2 linked regions of the Arabidopsis thaliana genome follow. The protein of the gene in region 1 interacts with the protein of each later gene in a pairwise test. Each region holds a gene or a part of one and is shown on either strand. Other genes may lie near its edges. The genes, in order: ESE3 and CIPK3.

What was found.
Region 2: the proteins of ESE3 (region 1) and CIPK3 interact in binary tests that used the Arabidopsis thaliana proteins (3 or more experiments, as listed by UniProt).

The regions. Positions count from the first base shown.
Region 1 is NC_003076.8:8,705,978-8,709,720, reverse strand, and holds ESE3 (Integrase-type DNA-binding superfamily protein), read left to right. Parts: upstream 1-1,835; 5' UTR 1,836-2,065; coding exon 2,066-2,148; intron 2,149-2,251; coding exon 2,252-2,714; 3' UTR 2,715-2,976; downstream 2,977-3,743.
Region 2 is NC_003071.7:11,517,093-11,520,692, forward strand, and holds the start of CIPK3 (CBL-interacting protein kinase 3), read right to left. Parts: upstream 1,601-3,600; 5' UTR 1,335-1,600; coding exon 1,309-1,334; exon of another isoform or gene 1,118-1,308; coding exon 940-1,117; intron 841-939; coding exon 778-840; intron 681-777; coding exon 609-680; intron 519-608; coding exon 411-518; intron 292-410; coding exon 211-291; intron 71-210; coding exon 17-70; intron 1-16. Other genes in the region: FUS12 (proteasome family protein), read right to left, coding at 2,592-2,930, 3,014-3,104, 3,178-3,246, 3,511-3,600. UniProt on the Arabidopsis thaliana protein: Involved in the resistance to some abiotic stresses (e.g. high salt, hyperosmotic stress) in young seedlings, by regulating the expression of several stress-inducible genes (cold- and salt-induced genes but not drought-responsive genes).

The sequences.
Region 1 (3,743 bases):
CAAAGAATAGTTACCTAAGTAAAAGCGAATATGTTAGACATATCAAAATTATTTTTGTTTAATTAAAATTACAGTTGTAGTAATGTTGTTATTTCAAAGGTACATATATATTTCCATTATGTAACTTGCTGATATTAGCATTCAGTACCATCCTTCTTTTACTACACCACCGAGAGAGATAAGTTACTTTCTTTTTTTTCGTTTTCTTATGGACATGGATGCAAATATACAGACAAAAAAAAGCATATGTTGAATAATTATTAGGGTTAAGAATGATTATTAGTAGGGTGAAAATGATCAATTATTTGATAAAAAGTTAATGACCTTCTCTAGTTGTTTTTCTTGTCGTCATAATTGCGGTCTAGGATTCTTTCATCAATTTGATACTGGATTGAACTAATAATATTTGGCACTTGTTATTTTGATGTATCCATTCTACCTACACACTCTTTTGCCCAACATATTCTTCTATTACCTCTTATTCCAATTATAATTGACTCTAAAAGGATATAGTCTCAATTGGAGATTATTTTTTTTTTAAATATGCGTGCGACTGAATATGATCGACATAACCTTTACTTTTATTTGATGAAACTTTGTCGAACAAAAGATAAATTGGCAAACAAAAACATCCATATATAAACCCAAATAAGAAGTGGTTACTATGTGACATTCCCTATACAATTAACATATACTACTATCTAAAAATTGTAGATAAGTTTATGCAATATTATACTAATTCCCTCTCCAAGTTTCAGTAATGGGCATAATCACATATTTATTAATTATTAAACCTATGTTTTTAATTGAAAAATAATGTATTAGAGTTTTTTTTTTAATAGGTCGCAGACTCGTAGGTAAACTGTACACTCAGAAATCATGGGTATGATGACAATACATTAAGGTTTGTTTCAATAATAACAATACAAAATAATATTAAAGAAGGGAAAAGAGAAGATGATAATCGAAGATGGTTTTGGGTGTTTGATTGAGTCATTATCAAAGGCTCACATGGGTGAAGAATGGTGATGAAAGAGTCTCGCTAGTTATCAAACTATATATTTTCCAATTATTTATCGTTATTATTAATTAGTTGGGGAAAAATTTGGCAGTATCTATGATATAGAGACATGTTGTGATGATCAAACCCATGTGAAAATAGGTACAGTGGGTTTGAAGTTTCACCGCAGCCAAATCTCTTTGGATCCAACTTGTTCACAATGGGAAAATTAAAATAATTGATAAATATATATGCTATATACGTAGGGTTGTTATTATATTTAGAGCTATTTATTAGTTTTATCTTAAAAATACCCCATAACTTAGGATATTATAACTATAATTGTCTAAGTATAATATGTGTAACTTGGGACAAAAGGAAAAGAAAAAGGTTTGGATTAAATTATCTTAGGTTTGATTTCTAAACCGTTTTAATTAATTTATATTTGTTGATAAAAAATTAGCTTTTGTTACAGAAATAAATTCATATGAAACTATTGAACATTTGTAATTTTGTATTCTAACAAAAACTGTGATAAGTTTGTTAATTCATAATTTAAATTCTATTTTAACTTTTAGATAAATTACGATAATACTTTCCAAAAAATATCTCTAAATAAAAAAAACACTTTTCCGACAGTTTAGCATGTAGTTTCGAAGCTTTCAATTTTCACTATAATATGTGACAGAATTAGATAATCCATTTGCCCATGTCGCAGCAACTTCGAATACAACAAATGAAGTAAATTTAAGAATACTTTAAGTTAAATAAATTAATATAACTCTCTCTCTCACATCAAACAAAATCCATGAGATTTTCTGAGTCGTATTGGTAATGGTGTGGGTCCAATTTAGGACCAAATTGATTGCCAGTTTATTGCCAAAGAAAATTTTAACACAAAAACATTTCTCTCTCTCATGAAGCTAAAGCCAACACTACTTATATAGCTACCCTTCACTCTTCCAAAAACGCTCCTTCACTCTCATCATTCTTTCTTCTTTCAAAACATTTCCACAAACACACCAAACTCACCTGAAACCCTATTTCCATTTACCATTCACACTAATGGCACGACCACAACAACGCTTTCGAGGCGTTAGACAGAGGCATTGGGGCTCTTGGGTCTCCGAAATTCGTCACCCTCTCTTGTAAAAACTCTCCCTCATCATCCTCTCAAATTACGAAATTACCCTCGGTCGCTTTTTATTTGAGTAATGCTAAACTTTTTTGTTTTTTTTTTGTTTTTTTTAGGAAAACAAGAATCTGGCTAGGGACGTTTGAGACAGCGGAGGATGCAGCAAGGGCCTACGACGAGGCGGCTAGGCTAATGTGTGGCCCGAGAGCTCGTACTAATTTCCCATACAACCCTAATGCCATTCCTACTTCCTCTTCCAAGCTTCTATCAGCAACTCTTACCGCTAAACTCCACAAATGCTACATGGCTTCTCTTCAAATGACCAAGCAAACGCAAACACAAACGCAAACGCAGACCGCAAGATCACAATCCGCGGACAGTGACGGTGTGACGGCTAACGAAAGTCATTTGAACAGAGGAGTAACGGAGACGACAGAGATCAAGTGGGAAGATGGAAATGCGAATATGCAACAGAATTTTAGGCCATTGGAGGAAGATCATATCGAGCAAATGATTGAGGAGCTGCTTCACTACGGTTCCATTGAGCTTTGCTCTGTTTTACCAACTCAGACGCTGTGAGAAATGGCCTTGTCGTTTTAGCGTATTCTTTTCATTTTTATTTTTGTTTCCACAAAAACGGCGTCGTAAGTGATGAGAGTAGTAGTGAGAGAAGGCTAATTTCAAGACATTTTGATCTGAATTGGCCTCTTTTGAAACACTGATTCTAGTTTCTATAAGAGCAATCGATCATATGCTATGTTATGTATAGTATTATAAAAAAATGTTATTTTCTGATTTTTCTCCATGTAAACCAATTGAACACTTGAAACCAAAAACTAAAAATTACACATGTGTTCGTGTGTGAAAAAGTGGGAATTTAATGTAGTGAAAAGATACAACAATGAGAAGAAAGATATCTAAAGTAGTGAAGAGAGATGAGAGTTTGAATATTTTGAGTTAGCTTTTGGTTTTGTTCCATGCATGTTCTAATTTTTCAACGGTGGGCCTTCATTTTTTTATTTTTATTTTTGGTAATTTGGGATTGCTGCTAAGTAGAAAAAGAGTGTCCCTAGCTGTGGCTTGACGACCATAAAATCCAACTTTTTAATTAGAGGGATTTGTGTTTTCTAGCACCTTATATTAAAATAGAAAAAATAATTTAGCTACATAAAATAGGTGTTTGACTGCAATTACTCTGTTTCCTTAGAACACTCTGTTCTTCGAACAGTCCAAACCTATTATTTATTTGTTTTGTTTGTAATGCGAATAAAAGGAAACTAGTGTTTTCCGACCACTACTTTAACTTTTGTAACAAAATATGATTTACATTTACTACCTTAAGGTTGAATACGAAAATAAAAATATTCTCTAGCAAAGAATGGAAAACATAACATGAGCAGGCTTTAATATATCCTTGACGATCGGTTGATTCTTCTTGCATACATATACGCGATAATATAATATCAGTTGTTAGCAACAAGCCAAAATAGCTAAATAATGGCAATTCAATATGGTTAAAGCTCGTTGCGATATAACCAGTACACATGCAATGCATCTAAATTGCAGCAGACAAATGATTTGACGTTAGGAATTATTTGGATTTAAAGA
Region 2 (3,600 bases), on another chromosome or scaffold:
TTTGTTTTAGGCAGACCTCAGGAGCAACGTAGTTTGGTGTTCCACACGATGTATGCAAGAGTCCATCATCCTGATATCCCCAAGCATATAAACCATGTTTAAGAATAGATATATGTATATAATTTTTGACAACAAAATCCGTAAGTTCTTAGGAAAAATGAAACCACTTCTTGGAACAGTAAAATACTTATGGAAACAGATGGTCATTACCCTGACTTGTTGGGACAAAGCACTTAATCCAAAATCTGAGATCTTGAGGTTTCCATAGGAGTCCAATAGTAAATTTTCAGGCTGCAAAATCACATTACAATAGTCAATTACTGGCTTACTGCACATAATATATGCATAGGTAACTTCTCTATCAATATACCATGTTTCAGTCCTACCATCTATAAAAACAATGTATGTACCTTGAGGTCTCTATGGTAGACCCCTCTGCTATGACAGTAGTCCACAGCATGTATAAGCTGTTGGAAATATCTCCGCGCCTCATCTTCTTTCATCCGCCCATCATTTACCTTCATTCATAAGTTATCACTATCAGATTTCACAACTATAATGTGACATCACAGAATCACAACCATTTATAATTGTGGTAACTAACTTACAATCTTATCAAAGAGTTCTCCTCCTGTAACATACTCCAAGATGATAAATATTTTCGTCTTACTTGCCATCACCTGCAACAACAACAACCAGTACAATTTCGAAGTAAGTAATTTCCAAGTACATAGTACATAATCAAATAACACATTTATCTAAAGAAGTGTTAATTACCTCATATAATTGAACAACATTTGGATGTTTTATCAACTTCATAGTAGCTATCTCTCTTCTAATCTGTAAAATTCAACAAAAAAACACAAGCAAGATCAAAATCAACCGATAAAAAACCGCAATGCGAAAGCAGAGTATCCATAATTCAATAATAACAAAAACCTGTTCAGCCATTTTATGCTTGAGAACTTTCTCTTTATCAAGAATCTTGAGAGCAACAGGTTCTCCAGTTTCAGAGTTTCTAGCAAACTTAACTTTAGCAAACGTTCCTTCTCCAATTGTTCTTCCAACTTCATATTTACCTACTCTACGTTTCACTTGCTGTCTCCGATTCATTTCTCTAACCACACCACAAACAAATATCACTCCTTCAGAAAACTTAGAACAAAGAACGAAACTTTAGAGGATTTGATTGGAAACAAGAAAAGGGTAAAGAAGAAGCAAGACAGAGAATATCTCAATCTTATATATATATATATATATATATATATATATATATATATATTACTTATTTAAAAAGCAAAAAAGAACCTTAATTTTTTGTTGGGGATCAACATAAGAGAAGATCTGATAGCTACAGAGAGATTGAGTGAGAAAGAGAGAGATTTAAAATGGCTTTTGAGAGAGACGAAGAGACAGAGGTCGTGATAAACGATGAAGAAGAAGAAGAAGATTTATTTTGATTATTAAATTTTTGTTGGAAAAATTCGTTTTTGGTGAGAAGTTACAGTTTTGCTTTAAGGAGTTTCAGTAGCAGACAAAGATCCTTAGAACAGAAAGAAACAAAAATTAATTGCTGTCTTTGGTCTTTTTTTGAGTTTTGTAACTTGTAACCACTAAAAAAAAAAAAAAAAAAAAAGGCACAGTAACCGATTTCAAAGTTTTAAGATGATGAACTCAATTCGGATCTGTTTTCTCTTTTCTTTTCTTTTATTTTATTTTGATATTAAATTTCTTTTTTTAATGTTGAATTATTTTTGCCAAACAATTCTGAAATAATAATGATTAAAAATGATAATATTAGTTTTTTTTAATGGATCAAAGAATTGGGGCGAATTTTGTTGTGACTAGTGAAGATTTTGTTTTTTTGTTTTTGTGATGAATGTTTGTTTATTGACTTACTGATAGTGACAATAACTAACAAGATTTTTCGATTTAAGTAATTTTGTCTTCCACAAAAGATTGAACATGTAAAAGATACTAATCTGTTGTAAAAAAAAAAGGACAATACTAGGATCTAATCTAGATGGTATACCACCAGATAAGTTTGTATTTTTATATATAATAATGTTCAATTTTTATATGGACAAACACATTTTATGCAGCTTCGCTTTAACAGTCTCAACTTGACTGACATTTGATATATGAGAGTTATAGTGCAGAGTTTACTTTGAGTTGAATGGTTATTATAAAATTTAATCAGTGGCAACTGGCCCACTGGCCAGTGTGTAACAACAAGCAAAGATCCAGAAAGATTGACAAATTAAAAGCTAATTAAATTATTCGAACCTAATTTTCTTGTTCAGATTTGTTTCACTTTTAATATTCATAGTCGTAACCTTACTCGAAAAAGACATCCACGTTATTTGTAAGAGTTCCGGTGCATATCACCCATCGCTTGCAATTACTATCTAGTTGCTGCAAAGTTAAGAAATCAATTTTAAAAATGAGAATGAAGAAAAGTTTCAAATCCTTTTTCTTGGCATTGAAGTGGTTTATAAACTCCATCAAATCCAGCTATGTGAAGAGAAACAGATAATCCACAAAGAATCAACGCCAAATCACAAAATCTATCCAAAAGAGAGGTTTCCAAGTTAACAGACTCGGCTGGTGATATTTGAAGAAAGAGACTTGAGCTGTGAGTTCCATTTATCAACCGCCTTATGCAACTTCCTTCCATTGCCACTGTCGCCTCTCAGTAAGTAACGGTTCATTTCATCAATGTGACCATCGATTCTGCTGTCGAGTATCAGCGACACTAGTAACTCCGTCACATCCGTCTCTGGCACGTTCAGTTCCTTTGATATGAACGGAATCCCTATCTTTGTGTATGGCTTAATCAGCTTCAGTAACACTTGTGTTCTCACTTTCTTCAGCAGATCTTCCATGTAGTTTCTGATGAATGGATCATCCATTATCGTCCTCCGGTTACTCTACATTCCAAAAACCATTCCATGAGTGTCGTTTTCATATATAATGAGTTGAAAAAACAACCCAATAATACTTCACTTTTTACCTTTAGTATTCTCTCAAACTCTATGATCTCATTTCGTTGATATGCTGCGATCAAATTTGTCATTGCCAAAATCTCAGGGTCGTTTTTGTACCTGCAGAGAGCCAACTATGAAGCAACGAACCAAAACGAGTGTTCAACAAAAAATATATACGGAAATGACTTACGGCTTTGCCTCTTGGCCATCAAACGGATTCACTTCTGACTCCATCAGCATATTCGCCAGAACAAGATACCTTTGCATAGCCAAAAGAAAAAAAAAACAAAGATCATTAACTCTAACATGTTTGGACCGATCACAGAAAGTTACTGGACAAGAGTAATCGAATAATGCTCATATGCACCTAAAACCATGTCCCAAGTCAAATCTAAATAATATGCTTTGCTTTAATCATCCATTACATCTTTTATATTTACTTTTATACCATGTTAATAATCAAGTGACCAGAGGGTATCAAATAAGAAAGGATAAAGAGATGAGAAGATCATAGGAAACATACTTCAGGCACTGTATACGTCTTTGGTTGCCAGCTTCATCGTAATTTTTAAAAGCCTCAAAGAAGTCTGTCGCTGCTTCTTCCCACTGACGT